Rhinolophus ferrumequinum: one gene and its partners. The protein of the gene in region 1 binds, or shares a complex with, the protein of each later gene. Links are inferred from orthologs where the notes say so. Each region holds a gene or a part of one and is shown on either strand. Other genes may lie near its edges. The genes, in order: TXNL4A, AAR2, PQBP1 and LSM3.

Evidence for each region.
Region 2: TXNL4A (region 1) and AAR2 share a complex: the UniProt entries of both Homo sapiens proteins name them as parts of the U5 snRNP complex. The link is inferred for Rhinolophus ferrumequinum from reciprocal best matches to the Homo sapiens genes TXNL4A and AAR2.
Region 3: the proteins of TXNL4A (region 1) and PQBP1 are in contact, whole or in part, in a crystal structure (PDB 4BWQ), measured with the Homo sapiens proteins. The link is inferred for Rhinolophus ferrumequinum from reciprocal best matches to the Homo sapiens genes TXNL4A and PQBP1. Residues at the interface, in NP_006692.1 of Homo sapiens: Gly11, Trp12, Val14, Asp15, Ile18, Asp68, Phe69, Met72, Tyr73, Glu74, Met82, Phe84, Asn87, His89, Met91, Gly97, Asn98, Asn99, Asn100, Lys101, Leu129; in NP_001027553.1 of Homo sapiens: Gln241, Gln242, Arg243, Pro244, Tyr245, Pro246, Ser247, Pro248, Gly249, Val251, Leu252, Ala254, Asn255.
Region 4: TXNL4A (region 1) and LSM3 share a complex: the UniProt entries of both Homo sapiens proteins name them as parts of the precatalytic spliceosome. The link is inferred for Rhinolophus ferrumequinum from reciprocal best matches to the Homo sapiens genes TXNL4A and LSM3.

Annotation. Positions count from the first base shown.
Region 1 is NC_046302.1:60,340,830-60,348,558, reverse strand, and holds the start of TXNL4A (thioredoxin-like protein 4A), read left to right. Parts: upstream 1-4,690; 5' UTR 4,691-4,720; coding exon 4,721-4,967; exon of another isoform or gene 4,968-5,009; intron 5,010-5,218; coding exon 5,219-5,391; intron 5,392-6,973; exon of another isoform or gene 6,974-7,122; intron 7,123-7,556; exon of another isoform or gene 7,557-7,626; intron 7,627-7,729. UniProt on the Homo sapiens protein: Plays a role in pre-mRNA splicing as component of the U5 snRNP and U4/U6-U5 tri-snRNP complexes that are involved in spliceosome assembly, and as component of the precatalytic spliceosome (spliceosome B complex).
Region 2 is NC_046306.1:19,429,935-19,437,926, reverse strand, and holds the start of AAR2 (protein AAR2 homolog), read left to right. Parts: upstream 1-4,946; 5' UTR 4,947-5,082; exon of another isoform or gene 5,083-5,375; intron 5,376-5,520; exon of another isoform or gene 5,521-5,811; intron 5,812-7,721; 5' UTR 7,722-7,772; coding exon 7,773-7,992. UniProt on the Homo sapiens protein: Component of the U5 snRNP complex that is required for spliceosome assembly and for pre-mRNA splicing.
Region 3 is NC_046284.1:85,759,228-85,766,948, reverse strand, and holds the start of PQBP1 (polyglutamine-binding protein 1), read left to right. Parts: upstream 1-4,711; 5' UTR 4,712-4,848; intron 4,849-4,916; exon of another isoform or gene 4,917-5,072; intron 5,073-5,259; 5' UTR 5,260-5,277; coding exon 5,278-5,344; intron 5,345-6,820; coding exon 6,821-6,932; intron 6,933-7,154; coding exon 7,155-7,270; intron 7,271-7,465; coding exon 7,466-7,721. Other genes in the region: TIMM17B (mitochondrial import inner membrane translocase subunit Tim17-B), read right to left, coding at 760-848, 939-1,049, 1,134-1,262, 2,056-2,119, 3,565-3,664, 4,494-4,519. UniProt on the Homo sapiens protein: Intrinsically disordered protein that acts as a scaffold, and which is involved in different processes, such as pre-mRNA splicing, transcription regulation, innate immunity and neuron development.
Region 4 is NC_046300.1:40,459,518-40,466,977, forward strand, and holds the start of LSM3 (U6 snRNA-associated Sm-like protein LSm3), read left to right. Parts: upstream 1-4,445; 5' UTR 4,446-4,541; coding exon 4,542-4,562; intron 4,563-6,331; coding exon 6,332-6,442; intron 6,443-7,460. Other genes in the region: XPC (DNA repair protein complementing XP-C cells), read right to left, coding at 4,147-4,249. UniProt on the Homo sapiens protein: Plays a role in pre-mRNA splicing as component of the U4/U6-U5 tri-snRNP complex that is involved in spliceosome assembly, and as component of the precatalytic spliceosome (spliceosome B complex).

The DNA of each region.
Region 1 (7,729 bases):
TAGGGGCTCAGAATGCAGAACTGAGTCTTCTTTTAACTAACACTCTGACTTTTCTTGCTCCTTTGGAACACTCTGGGTATTGCCGATTTGCAAGCCCCAAGACCTTTGAATAAATCTTCCTCATTTATTTCTAGCTAAAGCCTCCTGACTCCTTTTGAGTATATCCCATAGAGATAATATGCAGAGTCTGGAGAGTCAACTATAAGCTTTCAGTGGATGCAAGTTACTAATGTTTAAATCTGAGCAATTCAGATATTAATATTTACCTGTCTCTAAAAATGAACAAAATTACACCGAAGAGGGAGAGTGAATTCATAAAACACAGTGAAATTCCTTAAAATCCTATTCCTCACACATCTTCCACTCTTAATATTTGACAGGTGGGTCCAATATACCCCAAATCACCCTCATGTACCAAGACTTGCCTTAAATCAGCACCAGCTGGCTTTTGTTCCCCTCCCTGCCAAACCTGCCCTCTTCTCTCTCCAACCCCTTTCAAAGTCTATTCTCATCTCACCTACAGTAGTTTTCTGTCCCCATCATGAGTATAAAATCAAAAGTGTTTGCTCTCTGTCTCTCACACAGACTCCTGGCCCAAATTGTGCACAAGAGACTCAGAAAAGAGGCTGAAGCCCCTCTGCTTTCTTATCCTTCGCATGATATTATCTTAGCATGGAAAATTATCTGATCAGTACATGACTAGATAAGGGGACCTAAAAGATTCAGCTATGCCAAAGAGTTCGGAGTCCTTGACAATCTGTTTGCTAGTGAGGGATTGATGAAAACTGAACTGTTTTCATCTTTTGTGATGTTTCTTTAGTCACCAGGTATCAACAAGCCCAATATAATTTAAAACCACAATGTGTCTCAGCAAAAACAGGTGCTACACTCCTGAAAAACTAGATTCCTATAAGGGAATAAACTATGAGCTAAAATCTGATGTGAGTGTTAGGCCATATTTAGGCCAGGAACAGGAAGCTTCGTATCTTAAAAGCCATCTCATCCTGCTTTAGGCCTTGTATCTTTCACTAATGTTTGCCTTAGGCCTGGAGAAGCCTCCAGGAAAGCAGAAACCAGCTTATCCTGTCTTGCTTTGAACTCTGGCTCCTAGGGGCTTGTGATCAGTGGGCCTGGGCAGACGGAGGCCTGGGGGCCAGGGTGTGGAGCCAGCAGGAGGGCTAGGTCATGCCCTGAAACCCTTTGCTGCTAGAGACAATGCAACAAAAACCCCCTGAAGCATTGAAGGGGGAACAACTTTGTTTACCCCCACCTATAAAACTCTATACCCCTTTTTGCTGGGGGAGGTTATGATCTTTGCAGCTCAAACATGCCAAATAAATTCTAATAGACCAATTTTGGTCGCTCGCAACTCACTCATTCCGCCAGCCATGCCTAACAGTGAGTACCTGAATTTTACCCATTTAAAGCTTAATCTGCCATTGCCTATAGCTCAGAAAAATAAATACCTGTACAAATTGACCTTTAATTTCTAGCAGAGTCCCTGAAGCCACCTTAAACCTCTCAAACGCGGCAGGAATAAATAATAACAACGTTGGTTTTCCCCTGTTAAATCCTTTAGGATCTTGAAATACGGGTCAGGATGCGTGTCAGGACTTTAACGTGGCTCACCTATCCCAGGTGAGGTCTGGGGTCACAGCCACGCCCACGCGGCAGAGCTCGGTCCAGTCTCCGGCCCACGCCATGACATCCTAGGGGGCACGCTTACAATGAAGTAAGTAGTGCTACATCTGTTGTCCTTGATAACTAAGCGGCCCGTGGTCCCTCTGGGGGCTTATTGATAGGAGGATGTGGAGAAGCCACTATGGCAAAGGGACGTTGAAACTACAAATACTGTGAATTTGTAAGGGCTATTTTGAGAGTTTCCGTTTGGATGAGGGGACTCTTCCTGACCTGAAATCTCTCCAGAAGACCCCTGGGGCATTCCCTCCTGTTTCAGCATCCCTCCTGGACAGTGGTGATAAACCACTGGGAAAAATGGATGGCATCCTGCCTCCCAACACTGTAAGGTTGCAGAATGCAAGATCAGTATACAAACACCAATTGTATTTCTACACACTAGTTATGAATAACCTGAAATTATTTAAAATAATTGCAGAGAAGGGGCAGCCAGTTAGCTCAGTGGGTTACAGTGCGATGCTCATAACACCAGAGTTGCCAGTTCGACTCCCACATGGGCCAGTGTGAGCTGCGCCCTCCACAACTAGACTGAAACAACTACTTGACTTGGAGCTGATGGGTCCTGGAAAAACACACTTAAATAAATAAAAAAGTTTAAAAAATAATAATAATTCCATAGAAAATAAAGACCTAAATAAACAGAAAGACCTCCCGTATCCATGGACTGGAAAACATAATATTAAGACAGCAATACTCCCTAAATTGGAGTACAGATTCAACATTTCCTATCAAAATCCCAGCTGCCTTTTTTGCAGAAATTGACAAACTCATCCTAAAGTTCATATGGAATGCAAAGGACGCAGAAAAGCCAAACCAATCTTGAAAAGGAACAAAACTGGAGGAGTCACTTCCTGATTTCTAGACTTACTACTAACACAGTACGTGAACTTCATTTCTTATAGCATGCATATTGCTTTAATCCAAGCAGGCTTTGTTTATCCTGATAAAACTATGATTCACTTGCATTTAAGCCCTTAGGACACTGGGTTCTGGTCAACACCAAATTCACTTAAGAATAAAGCGTCAGGTCTATCAATCATGACCAAGACACAACCACCAAACCTCCAACTAGAACAAGGTTTGACCCTTGGCCTCAGTTATGCTTCAGCTCTGGACTCATGAAAGCGGATCGGCCCCACAACCGCACCCCCTGCGAACTGGATCAAACAAGGCCATGACTGACACCAGGACCCACAGCCATGACCAACTGCTCTCTGCTTTGGCCCCGACCAATTAGTGGAGCCCACGACCCCCACTCCCATAGAGACCACGATTAATGATTGTTCCCTCCTGTAACCTGGCTGCTAGAGCCATCGGGGAGCCAGGTCTTTGAGAGCAATAGCTCACCCGTGTCTCGGGACTTGGTGCCAATTCCTTAAATACACCTTTTCGTTCTCTGCTGCAAACTTCTGCTCATGTTTTGTTTTGGTTTGGACACAACCCCTGGTGTCAGCGGTAATGCTACGAATTTACATTAATTAAGATAGTGATACTGACATAAGACTACACAGAGAGATAGATGAATAGAATTAACACTACAGAAAAAAATCCTTATAAAGTCAATTGATTTTCAACAATTTGGTTGGGAAATAACCTTTCCAATAAATGGTGTGGGACAACTGGATATCTACGTGCAAAAGAATGAAGCTGGGGGGTGGCCGGTTAGCTCAGTTGGTTAGAGCGTGGTGCTGGTAACACCAAGGTTTCCATTTTGATCCCCACATGTGCCACTGTGAGATGGGCCCTCCTTAAAAAAAAAAAAAATTAAGCTGGACACCTATCTAACAAAATACACAAAAATTAACTTAAAATGGTCACAAACCTAAATATAAGAGTTAAAAGTAAAAAAACTCTTGGAAGGAAACAGGAGTAAACATCATGAACTTCAATTAGGCAATGGTTTCTCAGATATGACACCAAAAGCACAAGCAATAAAAGAAACAAAATACATACATTGGTCTTATTCAAAATTTAAAACTTGTGCTACAAATGACACCAATAAAAAGTGCAAAGTCAATCCACAGAATGGGAGGAACTATTTCCATATTGTGTGTCTGGTAAGAGAAGAGTTGGTTCCACAACTCTGAACAACTTGACCTTAAGTGGGTGACTTTCACATCACAGTCTGTGTGAATGCTGCCTCAACAAAGCTTTTGAACAAAAGACCTACTATCTGAAGACAGACAGTGCTGACGGCTGCAAACGAGGCGAACCAGGCAAACGTAGTGAATGCCACTGAATGCTTCAATGGGATTAGAATGGTCACTTGACATGTACTTCACCACATAGAATGTAGAAACGCTAGTCGCAGTAAATTATTTGGGGGCATTGGAGTCTTGTGCATTAGCTTGGCGTACTTCTGTTAATATACTGCTTTTGACAAGTAAAGCGAACCGTGTTGTAGGGCAGGGGATCCTGCCGACTTCACCATGTGTCATGCAGGGTGTCCTGCGGGGTCTCTGGTCCCGCTCCCCACATAAGAACGCAGGATATGGTGAGGCCAAACAGGAACACCCACGGAGCCATAGGTAGGGCAGTCACACCACTCTACTCTCGCTGGCGGCTGGGTTGGAGACACAGGGACCAGGAGCCACACAATTCTCACCCCTCACTGCGCCGCTTGCAGGCTCAGCCACCATCTTCTTGCTAGCCCCCATTTGCTGCTAGCCTAGCCACGGCAGTTATATTAGTGGCCAATGGCTCACTGGTTACAGCTGACGGCCGTTTGATCACAGTCGATGGCCATTTACTACCTGAGCCAGCACCTTTCTATGTGAGGCCGAGAGCCTGGAAACTGCTTTTTGGGGCTCTGTCCCCACACGTGTTTATGTCTGGAACGGGTGAGCGCCAAAACGACTACTCTGGGGCCTCCGCGTGGGAGTGAAGGGGACACGCCCCGCCGCAGAGGTGCCCACCTCTCGGGGCGGCCCCACCACCGCCCGCGGTCCTCTCCGTCCGCCGCCGCCTCCGCGGGGCTCATGGAGTCCTCTCAGTTCAGCGCCGCCTCCCGCCGGTCGCGGGGATGTCGCGGGGAAGCCCGGGCTCTCTGACGCTCTCACCGGACAGACAACAGGTCTCACAACCCACCGCAGCCATCCCTCGCAGCAAAACTCGCTGCAACCACCAGAACCCAGCGCGAGGCCTCCCAGCTGCGGACACGCGCACGCACGACGGGCACGCACGGCGGACGCACGCTCGGCAGACACGCGCACGTGCACGTCAGGGCACGTTAGTGCGCGTCCGCGCCGGGGGTGACCGCTTCGCGGGAGGTGCGTGTGAGCCGAGGTGCAGGGAGCGGGATTCCGCGGGAAGTGGGTTCGGCGGGGATCGGGGCCCGACGGGGAGTTGGGCTGGGCGTGTGGGCCGGGCCGGGCCGGGCGGAGAGCGGGGCCCGGCGTGGGATCGGGGCCCGGCGGGGAGCGGGGTCCTGGTCTGTGGGGAGCGGCGCGGCAGCCCCCGCCAGCGCCGCGCGCTGTGGCTGAGGCGGAAGAAGCTCGTCCACCGAGTTCCTCTCGCGCAGGGGCCAGTTCAGTCGCCAGGATGTCGTACATGCTCCCGCACTTGCACAACGGCTGGCAGGTGGATCAGGCCATCCTTTCGGAAGAAGACCGAGTGGTCGTCATTCGGTTTGGACACGATTGGGACCCCACGTGCATGAAAATGGACGAGGTTCTGTACAGCATAGCGGAAAAGGTAACGCAGCCCCATAGCTTCACGTTGCGATCCACCGTCCGCTTTGCCAGTTGGCGGGAAAATTTTAAAGTGAGGTTAAAAACTGCATTCTATGTTTATTCTTAAGGCCTTAATTTCTAATGTGCGGCACAGCCTCCAAATAAAGGGAAGACGCAGGATTAACACACGGACAGATTTTTACCTTGTGAGGTGAGGATGTGCTCCCTGAAATCGTACGTAATAGCACATGTCTTTTTCTGGGAAAAGTTTCCATACATTTTCAAATTTTAAAGAGGTTCGTGATCCCTCTCCTGAAATAAGTTAATAAATCCTAGGGATAGGATATTTTCAGACTATACATCTGTAGCACCATGAACAAAACACATTTGCAGACTTTGGCAAGGGCGTTGGAGCTTATTTTAAATAGCTTAGTTTAAAAGGATTGTCCTTTTTGGGGGACTGTGTTTATTTGTTGAATTTATAAAGCAGAACTCTTATGTTAATAGCATAATAAATCCTGTTCTTTTTCTTTTTGTCGTTTTTCTTTTCTTTACCCCACCATGCTCTTTGTAAGTCACTAGATTTATAGCTTAGAGTGATTTAAATGAAGGGCCTGGTAGAAGAAAGTAGAATTGTGCTTTGTTACAGCTAGTTTTCCTAATTTTTAATATTAGTACACTGGTTTGTCTGTGGCACTTATGGGATGACAATAAAAGTGCAATTGTAGGGCACTATTGTATAACCAGACATGTAATTCTTTTGTTTATAATTTCCTTGTGGCGATTTTAAGTTAGCTTTGATTTGTATTTTTGCAATTGTTGCAAGAGGACAAAAGGCAAATATATTGGGGTTTTCATGAAATAATTAACTTATTAATATTCTATAAATGATTTGAGAGGACATTCATTTTAATGAACAGTAAAAGTGGAAACACTGAAGACATCTTTCATGGGAATAGGAGATGCTAAAATAAGCTGGGTTAAAATAACACCTTTGAGTGAATAGTATCAGATGTAAGGATATATTTTGAATTTAAGAAAGGAAAAGCTATCTGACCTGCCATTGCTAATTTTTACTGTCTCATGTTTGGTAGAAGAGTGAGGTGTGGGTGGTGCGTTGTGCAGCTTCCATGTCAGTCGTCATAGGTACCACTGGCACTACTTACCAAAGGGCATAATAGTGATTCTGAATCTGTAGGTCTGGGGTGAGGTCCCGAAACTGTGTCATTAAGAAGTTCCCTTGGGAACTGTGATGTGACTCTCAGAAACCCCTCAACAGAGGTCAGGGTTATCATAGGAGTGCTGCGTCTGTCAGCGATCCCCTCCTCTTCCTCTTGGACACCAAGACATTGAGGAGCTTGAGGAGGTGCCTGGGGAGCTCTGGAGAGGGCTGTTGGCTTACACTAGGGGGCCTCCCAGTTGGGGTCAGAGGTCATGAGTCAGGTGGTACCAGGGAGTCATTTATTCATTGTTCAAGCTGTAGAGGTCAAGGGCAGCTACTGCTGACTTCAGTGAAGACGACCAAGCACTTCTCCAATAAGCAAATCATTAGCTTGTTGACTTTGAAATAACTCAGGGTGTGTGTTCTCGATTCTGCCTCACAGGTGGCGGCATAACCTCCAGGTGATGTCCGATCCTGCTGCCCTCAGCACGAGGCCAGGATGGCTGGAGACCTGAGGGTTGGTTGGCTCTTCCTGTCTGAGCAAAACTCAGCAAGATGCTCTTAGCTAGGAGGCATATTTTGTGAGTTAACGTAAGTGTTCAGGGACTTTCACCAGAGTTGTTCTTTCCTAATTCCTTTCTGTCAGTTACAGACTGAGGTTACAGCCGTGTCAGTAGTAAACACATTCTTTTTTTTGTTTTGTTTTGAACCTGTTGATCAGGACAGTTTTAATTGGGCTCACTTTGAATATTTTTGTTTGGTCTTGAAGTTTCTCTTTTTCTTTTGTCCAAAAATTTGGGTTTTTATTTTAATAAACTTTTAATACTGTATTATAATATGCAGTTCAAAGTGCAAACTTGAAGTGCATTCCAAGACTATTAATGTTTTATTTTCTTCTTAGTATAAGGGCAAAATAAGACTATAATTCTGGAAGCTCTCTCTGGAGAAGCTCAACAGGAATTTTTGAAATCGAAGGCTTTAGTGTAAAGAACAATTTAACTCTGTTTAAAAATCTCCCTCTGCAGAAATGGCAGACAATGGGGGATCCTCCTCACCTTGTCACGAGCCCTGTTTGGATATCCCAGCTGTTCTGAAGTGAGTAAAAGTTCAGTGTTGAGGCCGAACCTGATGTTTCTCCTGGAATGTGGTGTATTGAACCTGACCTGCCAGGGCTGGCTGGACTCATTTGAGCTGTCCT
Region 2 (7,992 bases), on another chromosome or scaffold:
CCCAAGGGAGGTGATGCTCCGGCCACTGTAACGGATGGTGGCTTTAACCTGGATGTCTGAAAATCCCCAGCTCTTTTCCTTTACCACGCCTGTATTCTGTCTGAATCATTCTCTTCTTCCTGGGCCAAAGCAGCCACGGTAGAGACCGTGAACACAGGGTAAACCCTAACAGGTCAAAAGTGTATTCCCGAAGGCTTTACCTCCCCTAGAACAAGCTGTGGATGAAAGGTGGTGCTGCTCAAGTCTCTATCGATGTAGAAGACCCTGGCTTTGGAGACCTCCCCTTCAGTCAGCCTCTGAGCTCGGAGTCTGTGCCCTCAGAGTCCCAGAAATTGCCTCGAGACCACAGAAACCCTTGGAAACACCCTATGAAAAGCTTGGCATTGATCTCGGGCACACAGGGGCTTTCCCAGGCTTTCCTGCCACAGGCTGCTTCCCTGAGCTCAGTGAGTCTCCTGTGAGCAAGGATGTCCCCACTGCATTTTAATTTCTCAGTCCCATCTCACCTCCCCAGTCCTGCTTCTAAAGCAGTCAATAAAGTCATTCAACAACTACTGAGTACCTACTGATGCCAGGCACTCTTCTTGGACTAAAGGAGAGAGTGGGGGGGCGGGGGAGGGAGGGCCCTGGGAAGCCCCTGAGCAAGCGTTATATCTCCAACCATGGCTGCCCCCTCTGAGCGCATCTCCACATTCTCTCCCGATTCTGGGACTTTGCCCAGGGATGTCCTCTAGAGGGCGCAGGCTTGCTGATCAGTAACCCCGAGGCTCTGCATGCTTAGCTGTTTAGCTGGTGCTCACCTGAGGCAGGACAAGGATAGTATGCGTCTGTGGGCCACATGGGATGGAGAGGGCAGAGAGCCCTGAACCTGGGCATCAGATGGCAGAGTCTCCGCATCCCCCACCCCCACCCCCACCGCTACCCGCAGCAGGTCGGTCGTCCTCTCCAACTCCCCCCCAAATGTGACAGCACACTTTCTATGCAGCAGGTTCTTTTTACAATCCTGGTAAAGAAGCCACAGAACCTCCTTCTTGCCCTTCTCAACCTGAGAGCTTCCACTCTTTCTGGGTCAAGAGCCGGAGTGGCTTCACCCTCTCTGGGCTACCCAGAATTTGGCTCAGGCACCCCTGTCTTTGCTGGAACCAGGCATCTGAACACACTGGACATCCTTCAGAGGGAGAATATTTTTTTCTGGGTTCTACACCTGCCTGCAGACCCGGGGTGTGTGGCTTCAGTGCAGGGATGAAGTGACCCGGCATAGCTCGTGGGCCAGCCAGGGTTGGTGGCAATCTCCGTCCCACAGATGTTCTGACTTTCCTTCCATGGAGAGGCAGGCAGCGCCACCAGGGAGGAGGGGAGCTGCAAAACTGAAATCTAGGACACTGTTTCTCCCCATCCTCCTCTTCATGGAATATAGACATTTGTCTTGTCTGTCTTCAACCTACTTTTCTTTTTTATATTTCTCATCCTTTCTGTGCTGCCTTTCCACCCAGGAGCCCATGTAGCATAGTGGAAAAAGTCCCAGAGGGCAGTCAGGAGTTCTGGGCGGCCATTCTGGCTTAGCCCCTAACTCACCCTGTGACATTGAGCTAGTCCTGTGCCTCATCTGGGGCCTCTGTTTCCCCACTTGTGAAATGAAGAAGATAAACCAGATGCTCTCCAGGGTCTTTTCCCCCCTCTGCCATCCTACAGATTTTCATTTTATTTTGCTTTCTCAGAATCTTTTCAATCTGAGGGTACAGGAAGTGCCAGGACCTGTCTCAGTTTTTGAATCCTGCAAGCACATTCCAAGACTGGCCTGAAATTGCATGAGCAACATCACTCCAATTTTTTTTTTTTCCAAAAGCTCCTTACCAACCAACTGAGATGCTGTCCTGTTCCTTTTTATTCACACCCCTCTCTCCTCTCTGGTCCCCGCGCTCCCCCACCTCAGTGCTCCGTGCTGTATGCGTGTGCTCTCTGTTCTTGTATACTCAATAAAAGTGAAATAAATGTGTTTGATGCTGAACCACAACTGCCTTGGCGCACATCTCTCTCCCCACACCTCCCCTCTCTCTCTCTCTCTCTCTCTCTCTCTCTCTCTCTCTCTCTCCATCTTTCACTACCAGTACAAGTTCGCATTTTGAGTAGAGCTGAAACTGGAGTGCAGAGATCCCAACCTAGAACACTTTCATTCAAGAAATGTTTGTAGCTCCCAGTGTGGTCCAGTGCTTGCAGTAGGCTTTGCAGGTGCAACAGCAAATAAGACAAAGTCCTCGTCCTCCAGGAACCCAGAGGCTGGTGGAGGAAACAGACAACACAACAGGCAGGCAGAGACAATACCCGAGTGAGGCATGGGCACCAGGAAGGAAATGCACATGGGGGGATGGTCACTGAAGGAGACCATCTTCAATAAGGTGGCCAATTACAGGCTCCCTAGGGAGGTTATATTTGTGAGCTGAATGAAGAGAAATATCCAGGAAGGTGAAGAACTTGGGCAAGAGCCTTCTAGGCGGAAGGAACAGTAAGCATGCGGGGGTGCCCCAGGACACGGGGGCTCGGTGTGTGCAGGAACAGCAGTCTCTCTCCTCCCTGAAAGAAGAGCACCTACCGCAGGGGCTCTTCCTGCACCCCTGCTCCATGGGAGCCTAGCGGATAATGTATACAGCCACCCTCCCTCAACTCCAGCCTTGGCCCACTGCCTTCACACGTGTTGCCGTATCCCCATATGTGCCACCTGGCTTGTTACTGACTTATCATTTTTCTTTAAATTGTGTAAAAAAAAATGTTTATTTAAAAAAGAAACTATATTACTTCCACAAATGGAAAACTATTGTCATTTGCCAAAGAAAGGAGGTCTTCATAAAAAGAAATGCAAAAATATTAAAAGTAATCCATGTAAAACTTAAACTCACCCCTTGGACTACCTGAGGTGCACGCACCAGCACTTTCCTTTTTATTCCACTAAGCAACTCACACCAGACTGCCTTTCTTTATTGCCCAAAATTTCACAAGCAAGAACACCGGTAATCATTTGGTGCATTTTCTTCCAGACTTTTTCCACGTCCAAGTATTTTTTCCAGATTTGAAGTTACCTTGTACATACCATTCTAAATACTTTTTAAAACTTAAATCCCGAGCACTTCACTGTAATTTCAAATACTAATACTATTTCTTCATTAAATTATACAGAATGCTATGCAGTGAAAAGCAATTCTTCAACCCTCTACAGACTCCTGTCTTGCCAAAGGCAATTCCTTCCAGGAGCTTTGTTACTCCTTCTCTGAATTTCCCCAGGTTTCCTTTAGCTATCTGTCACACTTGGGGTTCTGCAATAGGATTTGGTTTGCAAACATTGGGTCCCCACACGTCTTGGATCTGTATCTCTCTCTCCCATAAATACAGAGCCAGCCTCTGTGCTGCCTGGGAGTAAACTGTGTGTTTCATCTGTATCAGTGGTTCTTAACATGGGTGGGGGTGTGTGTGTTTTACCCCCCAGGGAACATTTAGCAATATCTGGAGACATTTTTGGTTGACACACTGAGGGGTGCTACTGGCATCTGCTGGGTAGAGGCCAGGGGTGCTGCTAAACATCCTACAATCACAGGACAACCCCCATAACAAAGAATTATCTGGCCCCAAATATCAGTAGTACCAAGGTTGAGAAACCTAATCTGGATGGACATAGGACCCACAAAGTGGGGTTTCCGGGACACCATCCACAGCTTCCATGCCCATAGTATAGTACCCTGGAGTCTCTGAGATGATGGCGAGCCTGGCTGGAACAGAGAGGTCTGACAACCAGACCAGAGAGCTCAGCACCTAAGACTGGGAATAGGGAGGGGCGAGGAGAGAGCTGAGCTTCTTCATGCCGGAAGTGGACCTGACACAACAGGCTGAGATTGGCGTCCATGACTGTAACTAATGGAAGCCATCTCTGGTTAATCCTGCAGCAGCTCATTGTGATTAACCATGACCGCAGGGTCCAGTCTGGTCTATACCCACTAAGAGATGAATTTTGACTGAGACAGATTGGCGTGTCCAGCTGTCACTGAGGAAGTATGACACACAAGCTAAGGAGTAGCAGCACAAGGACGAGACCTGGGTTTGCACCCTAGCTCCACCACTCTGACTGTGTAACCTCTCTGAGCCTCAGTTTTCTCTTCTGTAAGTTGGGAATACTAATACCTGCTTATTAGGGTATTGTAAGGTTTAGAAATCATATGCGAATGGCCTGCCCTGTGGATTTTGGACTTACGCAGCCAGCCCTCACCATCACATGAGTCAATTCCTTGCAATAAGTCTCATAATATATATCACCTATTGGCTCTGCTTCTTTGGTTGGACCCTGAGTGGTACAGCCACTCAGCACAGGGCGAGGCCCCAAAATAGAAGCCATTTATTAATACCAAATTACTGTCATTAATTAAATGCATAATATATATACTGAGCTGAACCTTTGTGCCTATTTTGTGCTAGGTTCCGGGGAAACAGTAGAGAACAAGACAGGCAGGTAACCACCCTCAGGGCACCGATATAGCCTGACTGAGTTATCAGCTAGGTCTGTCCTGCCAGAGGATATTGGGTGATTACGGATGGAGAGATTGACACGGTGACTACTATGGCTGAGACTGGTTCTCTCTAGTTTGGGAGCTGGGTTTCTAAGGCTCTCTCTTAGTCCTGAGTGTGGTTGGAAGCTGAGACTGGGTGATAATAAGCCAGCTGTGACACTGTCACTCAGGTAGAGATTGGCTGACCAGGACCATGACTGAGCATCTGACTGTGGCTACTGAGCAGCCATGACCTTGACCCCAGCTTCAGTGACCAGGACTGAGATCAAAGGACCATGGCTGGTGGATGTGTTTCTGGAGCGGGATATAAAAATGCACAGTTTGACGAAAGTTGTCATCCACGGCTCAGGAGCTAAAACGAGTTAACGAAAAGCAAAAGGTTTTATGAGGCGGAATCTGCAGGCGCGGACCGTTCCTTCCGTGACCAAGAGCTCTGCCGGGCCGCTTTTCCCGTGGCGCTTGTCCTACGCCTAAGCGGTACAACTTCCGGGGCGTTTCCGCTGTGTCTGCGCGGGGAGTGAGACCGAGGCTGGTGAGTGCGGTGGTTTAACTCCTCTGCTTCGTTGTCATTTGGCGGGGCCACCCCTCTGTCCCGCTCCGGATCACGGAGTGCCCTGAACTAGGGCGTCTCGCTGGGACAGCCGCGTCCCGATCTGTGGGCCAGTGGTGGGACGCCGATGTCTCTGCAGGCCTGTGCCCGAGAAACCGTCGCCAGTACTTCCTAGAGCACCCGGCGTAACTTCCCTTTTTTCTTAACTTTAGAACTTGGGGGCCCGACACATTGGCTACGTCCGACGTGATTCGGTCCGATTCTCTGTAACTTAGGTAAGGTCTTTCTCCGAACTGAGCCTTTGTTTCTCAACTGCAAAACGGATATCATGTTTTTATTATTAAAGCGTCTAATATGTGCTAGAGGTACAAAAAGACTGAGGTCTCATGGAGGTGACTGACAGCCCTCTATTAAATGTAGGCAAAATTGCAACCTTGATAAGTGAAATGAAAAGGCACAAGACGCCATGAGTGGATCACACAGGAAACCTGATCTAGCCCAGCGTCAAGGAAGCTTGACCGAGGAGGGAATATTGAGATCAGAAAACCGATTTGACAGAGAGGGGAACGAAGAGTTCTCTCTCCAGAGGAGCCTCCCGTTTGAGTGTCTGAAAAAGATGTGACTGGAACAGAGGGCTTGGTGGGGGATCGTGTTCTGAAACAAGCGTAAGGAGTTGCCAGGAAGCAGACCATGCACGCCTTGGAGGTCATGGTAAGAATTTTGGTTCTCCAAGAGCCACATGGGAAGCCACTCACAGGGTATTAAGTGTGGGTGGTGACATGCTTAGATTGGCATTTTGTAAAGCTCACTCTGGCTGTTGGATGGAGAATGGATTGGAGGGGCAAGCACTCTGGGTGAGGGATGTGGTAGCTTAGATTAAGGAGGTGGTGGAGAGAATTGGGTAGATGTGACTTTCTGCATTCCAGGGCTGCTTCTCTGTGCCAGGACATGTGTCAGCTGCTGAAGATATAATGACTAGTACAGGCTGGTGGAATTAGAACAAGAGGAATGTCATTATCAAGGAGGAGCATACAGGTGCCACTACTGTAAGGGAAAGTAGCTAATCGATGAGCACTTACTCTAAAAGCAGGAGCTGTTCATTTAGCAAATATTTATTTAAGTACCTTTTGAAATCAGGTTTGGGAATAGGAAGATGATGATATATAAATTATTTAGAACAGTGACTTTCAGACTTTTTTGACTGTGACCGATGGGAACAAATACACTTTACGTTGCAACCAAAAGGACGTACAAACCCACAAAGCTTCAAAAAACAGTGATTTATACTACACCCGCTGCGCTTTGATTTTTTTTAAAATTCTGTTCTTTTTGTTTTAAAAAAATTAATGCTGGTTGAGACTCTCTAAATTGATTTCTTGACCCATTAATGAGGTGTGACATGAAGTCTGAAAAAAAAATGCTGATGTAGAATGAGAGTCATTTGTAGTGTTTTTTAAGTTAAGACGGTAAAATAGGCCCTTAACATTTTTGGAAAAGGGTTAGTCTTCTGTTCCTCACTGTTTTGTTTGTTTAAAAGAAAAAGTAAAGAGAATTAAACAGGCAGTTGGTTCTTCTGTTTATGAAATTTTGGGCTCTTGTTCGTATGTCTGGCTAGATTGGAAGTACCTACAGGACAGTGACCGTCTTCCACTGGATGTTTTATTAAGTGCCTGGTAAAGATCCTGGCACAGTGCAGGCATTTAGTGATTATTTGTTAAACTGAATAGGTAGGTGTCTTAGGACTAGAAGGTTAGATGATTGTTTGGTTTAAGTTAGTTCATGTTGGAACCAGTCTTATAAATAAATACCACGCAGGCAGTGTTTGTCTGCCTACAGAATTTTTACAGTGTGTCCTCATGGGTTGTCCAGAGGTAGGTAAAATAAATGTTCTGAGCTCTTTCTCTTCTAAATACTGGTCCTAGGCCAGCCATGCCACCTGAATCCATTCTGGGCTAGTGGTCCAGAGCTGCCACTGACTAGGCCCTTTGAGAAGTTGTTTCACTCCTTGGACTTTAGGTTTTTATGCATAAAAGGAGAAGGGGAGGTTTGTGGTTAACAGACTCTTCACCTCCCCGATCTAGTGTGAATTTTAGATGCTGAGCATCCACTTTCCACCTCTGTCCATTTCTGGGCCTTCCCTGAGGTTTGTGGGAAACTGGGTGTATGCTTGATTTAATCATCCTTTTCAACTCCTGGGTTTCTCCAGCAATAGGTTAGGCAGAGTTATAGGTTAGAATGGACCATCCAGGCTTTCTCCACCTTCATCTTCTGTTGGGAGAGTGATCTGAGAGCAGATCCTAAGTGGACAATGAACAGAACACTGGCCTGGAGGGCAGGGTACCCAGGTTCTAATTTGTGTGACGTTGAACATGTCACTTCTCTTTCATGCCTTTGCAGTTATAAAGTGAGTGTTCTTGCTCATTAAACCAAAACACGAAAATCCTCTTCTCTCTTTCTCATTTTTCTCATGTATAAAGCTGATGTAGGGTTGTGTGAGGAGATAACTTCTGGGAGATAATTATGTCAGGAGTCTAATTCAGTATCTGACACATAGAGAATGCTCAGCAAATGAAGTATGCTTCCCCAACTTCTGATGAACTCTGATTTCTTTCTTTTTTCAGCTATTCTGAAAGACAAGAAGGGTTCTCCTTTTGGTCACCCACCACTGGTCCATGGCTGCTACGCAGATGGATCCTGAACTTGCCAAGCACCTCTTCTTTGAAGGGGCCACTGTGGTCATCTTGAATATGCCCAAGGGGACAGAGTTTGGCATTGACTACAACTCCTGGGAGGTGGGGCCCAAGTTCCGGGGTGTGAAAATGATCCCACCAGGCATCCACTTCCTTCACTACAGCTCTGTGGACAAGGCCTACCCCAGGGAGGTGGGCCCTC
Region 3 (7,721 bases), on another chromosome or scaffold:
CACCTTCTTCAAAGAAGCCTGGTCTCCCTGACCCCTACTTTCATCCCAGGTGCATGGGGAGGCCACATGGAGGATTACCTTCCTACCAGTCGAGTGACCAGCGTCCAGAATGAGAGTGCATTCTGTGGTCAGATTTCCTAGCGTTGGCAATGGGGGCTTTGGGGGGAGGAATTAGGGGTGCGACATGCAGAACCACCCTGTCCACCCCAGCAATCCTTGTGTTCCCTCATTTCTTTCCCAAGCCTGTGCCTCTGTCTGCTTATGATTCATCACTTGGCCCTCAGACACACTTATTCATGTACCTATTCTCATCCTGATTCATTCCCTTTCCTGCTCATTCATCCCACATTTACTAGAGCCCACTCTCTGTGGGACTCCAAATCCTAGGGCTTCTGAGTCCCTGACGAGGGCTCTGCCCCTTGTCTTAAGGAGAGGCTCCCATAGCTGGCTCAAGGAGTACATCCATAGGCGTTTCAAGACTGGCTTTAAATACTCATCAGGGTGCCAAAGGAAGGGGCTGGGGTGAGAGCTTGTTACATTATGAATGTGGGGCTGGGGTGCCCTGAGTGAAGGGGACCCGTCCATCAGGGCAGCTGGGGTGCCCCACGCCCACCCTGGGACAAGGGAGCGGAGAGAGCAGAGAGGCCCTCTCCGGGGGGTCCCAGGGCCAAGTGGGAGCCAGCCCTCCCTTCGAGGTAGATCATCGGGGAGGGAACCTAGGAGGCGCTCCCATGATGGTGGCGACAGGCGGTCACTTCTTCAGTGGTACTGCTGATAGCTGGGGTAGCCTGGGGCCTGGGTACTCTCCTTAGGGGGCAGCTGGCTGGGGTCCTCCAGGAACGGGGGTGCTGGAAAGGGAAGAATCAGGTACAGGTGAGCAGAGGTGGCTAGGCAGAGCATTTCCCACTTCTCCCTGACCCGCGTGGCCAGGTACTCACCATTGCGGAACTGCTGGGCAGTGTAGCGAGTGAGGAGGATGCCGACACCCTCGATGAGCGCCAACAGGATGCCCCCCATCATTGCTGAGCCCACCATGGCCAATGGGCCACCTGGAGGAGTGAGGAGGCAGGGGGAGAGGTGAGGGCCAGCAGAACAGGGTGGAGGGGGCTGGGGCCAGGGCTGGGGGTACTCACTGCGGGCAGCCAGCACAGCCCCGGTCAACGCTCCACTGGTGATAGAGTTCCAGGGATCTTCTTTGCCCCGCAGCCGCACCAGGCCGCAATCGATGGTGGAGAACAGGCCCCCCCACACCGCAAAGCTACCTACAGGGGGACAGAGGCCTAATTAGTGTCCTAGGGAAATCCCAAGAATCCACAGCTCAGAGACTGGGGACTCCCCAGGCCTGAAGGCTATGGCAAAAAAAAAAAAAAAAAAAAAAGGGAGAAAAACCAGATGCAAAGGGAGAGAGCGAACTCCTAGGGGATACTCCCCACATCTGTCCCTATGGTAGCTCCTCTTCAAGCTGTCTCTTCTCCTTCACAGGGAGGTGACAAGTGTTTATAAGCACATTTACCTTCCATATGGCTTTTAACTTTGATCTTCATAACCACCACATAGAGTTGGAGTTCTGATCTTGGTTTCAGCAAGAAGGTAACAGGTTAGGAAAGCCAGTTAACAATATGATAGTTAAACTGTTTACTGAGGCCTTACTTACTGTGTGCCAGGACCTGACCTAGGCACTGCTTGTTATTTGACTTCTGAAATTTTAAATTAGTTACTATTATTAAAGTGCTTAGCAGAGCAACTGGCACTCAGTAAGTGCTACGTAAATTACATCCATTACAAAATGACTGGGGTGGTTACTGCTATCGTCATTCCCGTTAGAGATGAGGTTTGGAGAGATTAGAGCCCAAGGTCACAAATCAGGGAAGAGCCCGAGTCTAGACTTAAAACTCCAGAACTCAGCGATATTAAATTGTTGGGAAACATTACTCCCCCAGGAAGTCCCAGGCGGAGTTGGGGCTCAAACCCGGACCCCCAACTTGTGGTCTAGACCCAAAGGAGCGACCACTGCCAACTTTGCCATCACATCTCCTGTCTCCCCAAGCTTCTCACCTCCAATCTGGGGGGCTCGGATCCTCACAGCGTTGACACTACCTCTCAATCGGTGCTGAATTCCCTAGGGAAGGTGAGGAGGAAGGGTGTCAGAGGAGGGCTGAGGCCACTGGCAGACGGGGCTTTTAGCTTTGCAGAGGAAAGGGGGTGGGAGTCCTGTTAGGAGTATCAGAGGTAGAGATGTAGAGCAGTGGCCAAGAACTAGGGGGCTGGTTAGTACCCCAACCTAGGTGTTCTCAGAGCTGGGTTGAGTTTCCATCCATCGATGACTGAGCACCTATGGGCCAGGTACCATGCTGCATGCAGGGACGCAGCATTGAACAAGGCAGACCTGGCCCCTGCCCTCTCAGAATTCCCATTACAGTGGGAGACACAAATCCTGAGTAAGGGTACAGATAAACAAGACAACTTCAGACGGCAATACATACCCTAGAGGAAATAGGATGAAGAGATATGATAGCAGCTGAGGGGTAAGGAAAGACCTCTTTAATGAGGGATCATTTGTGCTGAGACCTTGAGGATGAGAGAAACTTGGGCAAAGATCCAGGAAAGAGTTGTCGGAGTTGAGGGGAGGGACAGGGCCAGATATATAAATTGCAGAGACCCTGGCAAATGGATGGCATTCAAAGTATGACACTTGCTGAGCTCTCCCAGGAGGGCGTGTCAGAGAAAGAGACAGAACTGATTATGTTAAATTAAAAGCATTTTCTTAACTTTAAGGCTGTCCTCCTTCTGCCAATTATACTGTTACTTCCCTCTATCCAGGTTTCTGACCCAGAATCTGCCTATAGGTAAAATTCGTCTAGCTTTACACACACATATATGATTTGGTGATATGGATGGAAAGGGATCTCTGAAATAAATCTAATGGAACGTAACCTCACTGGGTGATCTGACTGATCAGGACTATAGCTTCCCTAGTAAAAGGTTATCTCTGCATTAAGCAAGCGCTGTCCGTTGTTTATCTAGGATAACACACCTTTGAAATGTGTCTTTTTCAGACCCCTGAGGAAGTGTAACCACCCACAAGAGAATAATCTTGTTAACTATCCTGTAATCCAATCATAGAGATTTCCCTGCCTTGCTTTCTCCCACATTCATGTAATCCTTATGTTCCCCACTAATTCCAAATGTATAAAATTGCAAACTGTCATTCTGGGAAGCATTTTTCTGTCTGTTGAGATCTTGCTTCCAGACGTATTCTCTGTTGGGCTCAAATAAACTCTTATACATTTTTTTCTACGGGTTTGGACATTCTTACGTCGACAGTGATGACTGTTTTCACAGCACAGCATTTCCAGAGGCGCTCCAGTTGAGGGGTGAGGGACAGTGGCCATGTTTGCAGTTCCCCAAAACCCCAGATCCGGGAGCCAGGCCAGGCACATAGTACGTGAGCAGGCACCAGAATGATTAAGTGTATGTGACTGGCAGCTCCCAGCAGTTTTCAGAGCAGTACCCTGTGCTGGCAGGGCAGGATCCCCACACCACCCAGAGAAGGCCAGGACTCACGACAGGGGCATTTCTGAAGCCCTTGATGGCCTGGAAGACTCCACCACCGATGACACCCATAGTGAAGGCTCCACCGCAGTCATCGACAATTCGCCATGGGCTGCAAGTGTGAAGGGGAGGATGGGGTTAATGTGAGCCCTCCTATGCTACGTCACGTGGATTCTTTCAACTGGGAGAAACCAAGTCACCCAAATGGGAAGTAGCACTTCAGAGAACAGATTATCCCCCCCCCATTTAAGCAAGAAATAGGGCAAAAAGGGAAAAATTAGTCTTTGCCCTCTCCGCCCCTTCCCTTTGCAGCCAACCAAGGAATCAGCCAACCACTTTACTATCAAAGATTAAATGAATTGATACACGTAGAGTTGGCACTTTATAATAATCCCTACAGAAGTGTTAACTCGCTAGTACTATTAAAGCAGGACGGGTCGCAACCCCCCTTCTCCGACAACTAACACGTCGAAGCAAGCCCCGCCCGCTTCCCTCTCTTAACCACGCACAAATGGGAAAAACCAAGAGCAGACTGTGGGGAGGATCCAGCACCTCCTCCTTGCTCACAATAGGCTCATCCAGGCCCCGCCCCCCTCACTAAAGGGACCTGGGAAAAACCACGCATGGTAGCTCTGGGGATTTCCGCTCACAGCTTATCACCCCCGCGGCGGAAATGGATTCGACCAGTGTGTCTATTTTCGTTAACAAAGGCGCTGAGAGATACGGACACGGGAAACGTGGAGTTGTTCTCCAGGCACACGGTTGTGGTCCCTCTTAACGGAGCCCAAGTGGGAGGGAACAAATGGAGGAGAGAAGGAGACAACTAAACGTCTCCCGATTCTGGGCCGTGGCGCTCTGGGGCCGGTGCCTCCCCCGCCCGCCTCCCACAGCTGGCCGTGATGCCGCAGCGACACTCCCGAGGCCTGTGGCCATCGCCGTACCAGGGCTCCCGAGCGTACTCCTCCATGGCGCCAGCGTCCGGCCCGTGCAATCTGCCTAAACCCAGGCTAGGCCACGCCCACGCCGTAAACGCACACAGAGCCGAGCTTTCCACCTATCCCAAAACCAGATTGGATTGCTGCGCCGTAGGTCAGGCCAATGACGCACTCTCATTGGCTACCCAGGTTGCATCATCTGTTCACCGCGGCGTACTCTCCCAGGTAGTTCAAGTCTCAGGGAGAGAGTAGCTGTTTCTGTTCTTTGGGAGAAGCGAATAGTGACGTCCTGGTGATCGGAGCAGCGAGGACAGTGAGGCGGCCAGTCTGACAGCCTTCTGCTACCCGCGTGACTGTATTGGTAATTTCCGGGAGCATGCATTTTTTTGGAGCTGAGGGAGGTGCTCTACTGTGCACCCCCATCCCAGCGTTTTGGTTCCGCCCACCCAGCAGTCTTTGGGGGATGTTGGGTGCACCCATTTCTGGGGCGCAGGGAAGCCGCTTTCGGCTCCTTCGGCAGTGGTTGGAATCTGGGCCTGGGAGAGGAACTGGGTTGTGGAGCATCGGTCCTGGAGAGGAGGGTTGGTGAGGGTTTTGGTGATTTTTCTACCTGTCTCTTCCACCTTTTAGCACAGCTTCCTTCTGCCCAGCTACTAATGGAGGTGGGGAGGTGGGAGTCCAGATGAGTACATGCTGCCGGGACGCGCTTGGTTATAGAATCCAGATTCGAATTTTCACCTGAGCTGTTTTAGTCTTGTCCTTCCGTCCCTAGGTCTGTTTGTTACTCACTATGCCGCTGCCCGTTGCGCTGCAGACCCGGTTGGCCAAGAGAGGCATTCTCAAACATCTGGAGCCCGGTGAGAGAGCTAAAGAGCAGATGCCAGGCTTGACAGACACTTTGTTGTTGATACTGCCACTTGATAGCCAGCATGGGCCCACTGTGCACCAAGCAGTGGAGGGGGGGCGGGGAGGAGGGCGCGGGGGAGATAGACATCTCATCCTTAATATTGACAAGTAGGCCCCACATACCTATTTGGGCCTACTGCATGCCAGGTTCAATCTATCCATCAATCCATGAAGTGATTACAAAGTGTCTAATAGTAAGGATAGCTGTCACCTACTACAGGCCTCTGTGCACTGAGGACAGTGGCCGGATGTCGATAATGTGTTCTTTACCATACTGATAGATAACATTTTTCAGACCTACTGTGGTGCCAGATATTATGCTGGTGATATATATGTTATTGTTCACCATATCAATAGCTGGCATGTATTTTGGCGTACACCTTATGGTTAACAGTATAAAATAATGATAGGATCTATCATTTAGGCCTACTTGCTGCTGCTGCTGCTATTTATACTTTATTGTCAATGATAGTAAAATCTGGCATCTATTTGGGGCTATAGTGTGCCAGGAAAATACATCTTATTTCCACCTTAATGAATAGTGACATTATAAACCTAATGTGTGCTGGGCAGAGATCTTGTGGTTAATGTTACTAATGATTATTGATATTTAAGCCTATTGGGTGCTAGGCCCTGTGCTGATGGTATTTATCTTATTAACAATACCGATGAATTTGTACACCTGAAATCTACGTAACTTTACTAACAATTGTCACCCCAATAAACTTTAATTAAGAAAAAAACATACTGATGATTATAGCTGACCTCTTTGGGGCCTACAGTATGAATGCTGTTGCTGACATATAAATTTCAGTGTTAGTTATACCCACAGCTGAAATCTGTGATAGGCCTCCTGAGAGGGCCGGGTACTGAGCTGACAATATACACCTTTTTTGTTCTATTGATATTAACCGACCACTGTATGCGTCAGGCCTCGGGAACTGAATGGATTCAGAGTGGTGTTGGGATAAATTCCTTGCTATCCAAATTCTTGTTACTCAAAATACAAGAGTCCGAAACCCTGCATTTGCCAAGCTTGGGAGCTTCCGGACTTACTTCAGATAAACCCCTTGCTGTTGAAACTCATTTTATCCAAATAGATTTGGATAGTGTGCTGTTCCGTACTCCCTGAACTCAGGAACTGAATGACTATGGATCCATGTTTTGATGAATCCCTATCTAAACCTTTCAACTAGATAGACTTGGGTAACAGTATATCGTATCTGAACCCAGGAACGGGACAGATTTAGGTGCACATTAAGTCTACTGTTCAGATGCTTGGACTTGGAATGTGAGCAGCATGTGCCACGGCCAGTGAGACGTGGCACACACACGCGTGTCCGTGTGAATGTGCACATCTTTCCAGACAAGAACGGTAGGATGAGAGTCCCCGACCCTTACTGCTGTTGTCCTCTCCGTCCTGGCAGAACCAGAGGAAGAGATCATTGCCGAGGACTATGACGACGACCCCGTGGACTACGAGGCCACGCGGCTGGAAGGCCTGCCACCAAGTTGGTATAAGGTGTTCGACCCTTCCTGGTGAGCTCGGGGACCTGGGGGAGAGGAGCAGCTAACTTCTCACTTCCCCTTTCCTGTGCTGCCTCTGGCACTGGGGTAAATGAAAGGGCACGGGAAGATATCTGGGGGTCCTCCCTGGGGGGTCCTGACATGGGGCAGATATAGGCGGAGATTGGGGAGCAGGAGTTGAGGAGACCAGGAGAGGATATCTGTGCTGACACTCCTTCCCTCCTCACTGCCAAGCAGCGGGCTCCCTTACTACTGGAATGTGGACACAGACCTCGTGTCCTGGCTCTCCCCACATGATCCCAACTCCGTCGTGACCAAATCTTCCAAGAAGCTCAGGAGCAGTAATGCAGGTGAGTGGGCAGGCCCGAGGGTGCCTCGAGTGCTTCCAGCAGTTCTCAGAGAGGGCTCAGTAAATGACAATGGATCCAGAGGGGCAGGTGGGACTGGCAGGCCCAGCCCCAAGCAGGAGAGGCTGTTAAAAGCAGAAGTTAACTGGGTCCTGGGATGGGACAAGGAAGGTCACTTCAAGGTTCTTATGTCCCCAGATGCTGAGGAGAAGTTGGACCGGAGCCATGAGAAATTGGACAGGAGCCACGAGAAGTCGGACCGGAGCCACGAGAAGTCGGACCGGGGCCACGAGAAGTCGGACCGGAGCCACGAGAAGTCTGACAGAGACCGAGAACGTGGCTATGACAAGGTGGACAGAGAGCGAGAGCGGGACCGGGAGCGGGACCGAGACCGCGGGTATGACAAGGTGGACCGGGAGGAGGGCAAAGATCGGCGCCACCATCGCCGGGAGGA
Region 4 (7,460 bases), on another chromosome or scaffold:
AGAGAAATGCAAATGAAAACCACAACGAGGTATTACCTCACACCTGTCCGAATGGCCATCATCAATAAATCCAACAAGTGTTGGTGAGGATGCAGAAAAAAGAGAACCTTTGTGTACACTGTTGGTGGGATTGCAAACTGGTACAGCCACTATGGAAAATGGTTTTGGAGGTTCCGTAAACAATTAAAAATAGAACTACCATATGACCCAGCAATTCCACTTCTGGGTATTTATCTGAAGAAATCCAAAACACTAATTCCAAAAGATATATGCACCCCTGTGTTCACTGCAGCATTACTAGTAATAGCCAAGATATGGAAGCAACCCAAGTGCCCATCAATAGGCAACTGGATAAAGAAGAGTGGTACATATATACAATGGAATATTACTCAGCCATAAAAAGGAATAAAATGTTACCATTTGCAACAACATGGATGGATCTAGAAGGTATAATGCTAAATGAAATAAGTCAAACAGAGGAAGACAAATACGTATGATCTCACTTATCTGTGCAATCTAAAGAACAAAATAAACAAACAAAACAGAAATAAACTCTTAACTACTGACAACTGATGATTCACAGGTGGAAGGGGGGGTGGGGGAATGGGTGAAAAGGATGAAAGGATTAAGAAGTACAAATTGGTTGTTACGAAATAGTCAAGGGGATGTAAACTACAGCAGAGGGAATATAGTCAACAATATTGTAATAACTATGTATAGTGCCTGGTGGGTACTAGACTAACTGGGGGATCACTGCATAAATTATATAAATGTCTAACCATTATTATGTACACCTGAAACTAACGAAATAATATTGAATGTCAACTGTAACTAAAAAATTAAATAATTAAAAAAAGAAAAATCAGAATGTCCAACCATGAGATAATCATTAAATCAGTACAGTCACACAATGAAATATAACTCAGTCATCTTTTAAGACAAAGGAAAAAGATCTAGGATAAAATGCTAAGCATGCAAAGTGGTTTTTACAGTGTTTTCTACTATACACAAGAACACAGACTAGAAGGAAATATACCACTGTTTAGTGGTGGTTATTTCTGGATGATGGAAATATAGACTTTTTTTTCTTTATTCTTTGCTGTGTTTTTTGTCCCAGAGAATCTAGAGGCTATTTTCTAGGATTCTCCAAGATCTAGGGCTATCTAACATGGCTAACCAGCTGCTCTGAATTCAATGCGGTTATTTCAGTAGGGCAGGAATTACTACTGTGGTTTGCTTGGCCATCCACTGAAATTTAATAAGAACACCTGCTTAAACCTGCCAGTAGCATCTCATAGCACTTAAAATAAAATACAAACTAAGGGCCCTGCCCACCTCTCTCAACTCAATTCCTGCCACTCGCCCCCTCACTCACTCACTGTGTCAAGCCAACTGGCCAAGCTCATTCCCTCCTAAGACTCTTTAAATGTACTGTTCCCTCTGCTGAGAACTCTTTTCCCCCAGAACCTCCTATGAATGGTGCCTTCAGGACATTCAGTAACTGGCTCAAACTGTCACCTCCTCAGAGGCCTTCCCTGATCATTGATTCTTAGCTGCGTCTTCCCCACCTCCGTGTCAGTTTTATTACAGTAATCTGTTTTACTTTCTTCATAGCTCTTATCACCATGTGAATTTATTTTTAATTTATTGTCTGTTCTATGTACCTACCTCTCTCCAAAGATTATAAGGACCACGAGAGCAGGGACCTTGCGGTCTTGTTCACTACTATCATTTCATTGCATGCACTAAGGTGATGTCAAAACCTACACTGTTGCGCTGTTAGAAACAAGTCACCAAATTAGTATCACCCGCAGCTCAAACTACATTTGTTCCTCCACCAAAGCACAACAAAGATTCTAACTCTTCAGATCTTGGAAGCTGCCCTGAGAACTTAATTACTCTGGTTGTCAGAGTTTGAGTGAAGCTTAGGTGCATCCTGACATCCATTTAGCCTGAACTGATATGAACTAGCCCAACTGATTACCTAACATGGACCATGCCAGGAACTTTACATACTATCTCACTGAAAAATCACAACCACCCTGCAAGGTAGGATTATGTTTCACAGATCAAGTTTCGAATGGCTCAATTATCTGTCCAGGATAATTTACCCAAGTGCACATAACAACTGAGCGCTGGAGCTATACCAAACTGGTGCCCAGGTGAAGTGTTTAGCTAGAAGGAATGCTACCCAAGCAGGTGGCATTTCCATCAGATTAAAACTTTTAATTTTTGAATTGCCACATATTCAGACAAAATAGATTCCTTCTGACTAGAATACTAACCCCCTTTCACGGCCTCTTGCTGAAATATTATCCATCCCTAAAGTTACAGATCAAACCTAGCTCCTCCAGAGAGCATTTCCCAAGCTCTCCAGCCAAACTTGATTATTTCTTCAGAAGCCACAAAGCCCTGTACCTTCTCCCACAATATCACACTCTGCCTTGGATAATTTTTGTAAATGTCAACACTACTATATTCTAAGCTCCTTCAAATCTCTGTCTCCCACGTTACCTAGCTCATGTACAGCACCAACCAGATACTCAAAAAATATTCAAAGGTCATTTTAATGAGTAAATGAACTAAATGAAACTCATAGTATTAGTGCGAAGTAAATCACCTTTTAAGTTTAGAAATTGCTATCTTTTGACTATTTCCTAATGGATGATTGCCTTGTCATATGTACAGAATCACAGAATCATTGAATCTAGTGTCATAGGAGGCCCTGTTGGTTACCCAGTCTAATCTACTACCCAATTATTTCAGGAACCCCCAAAATCCCTCCACAGCAAGTATTTTACAATTACTTAAAATACTTATTGAGCACTTAGTATATGCTGGGGGGAGACGAGAGGATACATCAAAAAAAATAAGATGCGTTCATGAAGCTTAAATTCTATTAAGATGGGTGATTAAAAAGGAAGCAAAGAAATTAACAAGATCATTACAGATTGTGACAGAAGCTGTGAGGGCCTCTGTGATACAGAGCACCTGGTGAAGGACACCTTAGGGCACAATAGAAGAATCAGCCACAGCCAAGAACCATGGAAGAACATTCTAGGCAGAAAGAACATCAAACACAAAGGTTCAATGTGAGAACATGGCATGCGTGAGGAACAGAAAGGAGACCAATAAGGAGAGTATCTGGCAAACAAAAGAGGGGTAGGAGACAAAAAGGAGGAAGCAACAGCCAAATCCTGTAGGATCTTGTAGGCCATGATGAGGGATTTGGATTTTATGCCACGAGCAATGGGACACCACAGAGGGTTTGAAGGAGGAGCATGGAAGGATCTGATTTTGGTTTTGAAAGATCACTTGGGCTGCTGGGTGGAGAATTATTGCAGGGGAAGGAAGGGAAGACCAATAAAAAGGTAACTGCAGTCGTTCAAGTTTCAAGTAATGGTGGCTTGGGCAGGGGCTGTGGCCTTGGAAATAAAGAGAAGTGAAGAGATGTGCTATACTTCTGAGGATGAACTGACAGGACTTGCTGAAGGATTGGACGGATGTGCTCGTGTATGGAAAAGGAGGGGTTGGTTTGTTTAAACAAGTGGGGGAAGGATCATTTACTGAGATGGGAAAAAGTGGGGAAGAGGCAGGTTGAAAGGGGAAAATCAAGAGTCTTGCTTTGCACATGACAAACATAAGAAGCCTATTCGATATCCACGTGAAGTCGGGTTGGATCCAAATCTGGAACTCTGGGGTGAGATTTAGCTGAAGATACTATTCTGGGAGTCAGCACACCACAAACTACGTTCTGTTCTTCTACGGACACAAAACAAGTACAATGTCTTTTCCCTGTTTAGCCCTTCGCATCTACCAGGAGGTTGGACTTTATCCTGTGGGCCACAGGGAGCAGGAAAGAGGCGACGCAGGGGAGCTCCAGGTCAAGTTGGGCTCCAGGGGAACCGCTCAGGGTGCGTCACTCCTCGAGTGAGAACAAAGGCACAGCGACGGGGAGGACCGGGGCAGCGGCACAAACGCCAGCTTCCCTTGGCCACCGTCAAGTGGTCTTCTCAGCGCAGACCGGCGCGGAACAGTCTCCGCCCCCCACCTCCAGGAAGCTGGCTCCCCCACTCCCCGCACCCGGGCCTGCTTCCGGATCTCTTTCAGCATCTCTCCCTAAACACGGCTCGGCCTCGCTCTCACCCTCCTCCTTCTCCTGCCGCCCAGCCGTGCTCTTGCCCTTGGCCTTCTGGCTGCGCAGTTCGCGTCCCCGCAGCTCCCTGCCGGCTGCGCGACTCCGAGCCATCTACCCCGGGGAGGGCTCGCTTCGCGAGTGACGCACCAAACCGCGGGAAGCTGCACCCGCGTGGTCTACACCCCAAGGCGGGGAGAGGCATGACCACGCCCCTCCTTTATGGACCAAGCACACGCCCCCAGAGGAAGCGCCGTCCCAGTCCCAAGTGACAAATGCAAACTGCAGGAAGCAAGAAGACGCAAAACAAATTTTTTTCTACTTCCGGTGCATTGCGTCCTCGTGTTTCCGGAGACTGGAGGGGCGTGATATCGCGAGAGGCGAGAAAAGGCGCAGGGTTTGAAACATGGCGGACGACGTGGACCAGGTGAGTGTCCCCTGAGGAACTCACTCCAGAGCGGCTTCCCCACTCCGCGCCCTGGCCCTGTTCGGCTTTGCATACCCGGCTGCTTTCTTCAAGTTCACGGGACGGTGTCCTATCATGTCGCCTCTTTCCGGGTCGTCACGGCCTTTAATTTTGCCTCAGGCTCTGAGATCTTTTCTACTTCCAAATCCGCCAGAAAACTAAGTTACCCCTCCCGCTCCTCACTTCCTTTCTCTTGAGTCTCACCTTTATCCATAGAATGGCAGTAATTGTCCCTGCCTGCCTCGCAGAGCTGTCGGGATTCTGATAGAAAGCGCGGTAATTATCGCGCAACAATTACTTGACCGCAACAATGATTACTCATTCAATAAACATGTAGTGAACATCAACTCTGTATGGTTTACACACCGTTCTAAGCACCAGAGTCACAGGGATTGACATACGTGATCCCTGTCTCCACTTGGAGCTTATATTGCGAGGGAGGACAGATAAATACGTGTGATATATAGGAACTGGGATGTGGAAACGAGCAAGGAACTGGTATACAGAATAACTGCTGGTCCTACAGGCTTTCTCACCTGCTCTTCCTTCTTCCCAAAATGCTCTTCCTCAGATATCGTTGTGATCAGGCCGCAACTTCTCAAGCTTTCTACTGAAGCCTCGCTTCATCAAAGAGGACTTCTCTGGCCAGCTACATAAAATAGCACTCTCCCGAGTTTGTTTTATTTTTCTTCATAGCATGTTATGTGTTCATATTAAGTATATGCTGCTTTGTTTAATGTCTGTGTCCCCCAACTAAAATGTGAATTTCTTACGAGGAGTTTTGTGTACTATTCTGCCCTGGGTGGATTTAGAACAGTGCTGGAACCACTCGGCAGATATTTAGGTATTGAGGGAATGAATTGGATGATCAGGGAGGCCTCTTTGAAAAGGCAATGTTTAAAGCTGAATAGGATGAAAAAAGCAGACAGAGAGCATTCAGGACCCAGGCTAAAGGAGCAGTAGGCCTCTGTCAGCGTGTATATTCTTACAGTATTGTAATGATTTATATGCTTCTCCCAAATAGAATGAGCTGCTTTGAGGGCAGAGGCTGACTTCTGTATCATTGTAGTCTAGTAGTTGGTTACCTGGTCCTTAACAAACAGCTGTTGAACTGAGGTTGGGGACCAGTTGAGGACAGGACTTTTTCCCTTGAACGCACGCTGCAGGACTCCAAAGCCAGTGCTTTCAGCCAGTATTCTGTACTGCCTGCTGAGTATACTCATCTTATTGGCCAGTCGGCACCCTAAACTCAGCGTGCCCTGTACTGAACTCATTTTCCTTCACATTTTCATCTCTGCTTAGCGTTCTGACTTGTGTAGTAGTCATTAAGTCAGTGTTATTCAGATTACTAAATGATATTTGAGATAAGGCTAACGTCCCTGAGAGTGACTCCCTATGTCCTGAAGTTGTGTCAAGCAGCTTGGATTTTGAGGGAACAAAGTATAGTCATGATTATTTTGCTGTATAACTCCTTCCTGTGTATGTTTCTTTCAGTTCTCGTTTATATAGCGCTTACTATGCGCCAGGTACTGTTCTAAGCCTTCACATATGTCACTTAAGCCTCACAACAATGGTATTAAGTAGGCACTGTTATCCACATTTTACTGGATAGACGACTAAGGAAAGCATAGAGGGGTTAAGTTACTTGCTCACAGTCAATGCAGCGTAGCAATGATTCAAACACTACACTCTCTCTAGTACTATATTACTAAGCTTGTTTTTTTAATCAGCAACAAACTACCAACACCGTAGAAGAACCCCTGGATCTCATCAGGCTCAGCCTGGATGAGCGAATTTATGTGAAAATGAGAAATGACAGAGAGCTTCGAGGTAGATTACATGTAAGTAAATCTATTAAATTACCTTGAAATCAGGTTATTTCCTTGTTTTCCCTCCCTACTCCCACGCCTTTGAAATGTAAAAACTCTCAACTGTGGAACAGTGTTTGGAATGCAGAGAGGAAGGTGGCAGCTACCCATATTTCTATAACACAAATACAACTCTATTTTATTCATATTTTAACATTTTTTTCTCTTACCAGAAATAATGTGTTTATTAAAGAACATTTTCATTTCTTTCATATTTTACCCTTCTATTTATTTGCAGATAACATTTATTCTCCATTCTTATTTAAGTGTTTTTTTAATTACTGACATATGCATAATTTGTATTTTCTTGTGAAAAAACTTAAATAGCACAGAAATACATGCCGTAAAAGGTGAAATCCCATTTCTTCTACTGGTAACCACTGTTAAAAATTGGGTCTATGGTTTTTAAGGTATTTTCTGTATATTTACACGTATGTATTTATAATACGTGTCCATATGCATATATTTGCACTATACCACCACTAAAATAAATGGGATCTTGCTATACATATTTTTGGGCACTTTTCTTTTTCACTGAATCTTGGAAATCATTGATCATGAGTGCATATAGATCTTCTCTATTCTTTTTAATTACTACATAGAATTCTTTATATGGTAATAGTGATATTTAGATTGTTTTCCATTTTTTTGTTACTATAAATAATACTGCAGTAAGCATTTTAATACATATTTAATACATATTTCTTTGTGTGCATCTGCAAATATTTCTATAGGATTGGTCCTTTAAAGTAGTCCTATTTATTCATAAAAAGAGTAATTGAAGGTTTTGCCTCTTCTTGATAACATGTTGCTTTCCAGAGTGTGTTGTTTTTATTACTGCCATTCTACCCTAAAGAGGTTAAAAATAATTAAAGTTTATTGAGCATTAATTATATGTCAGGTACTAGTCTAAGTGTTTTGTATGTAATACACATCTCTTTTGATCTTTATAACAACCCTCTGTGGGTAGATACTAAATATCCCTGTTTTA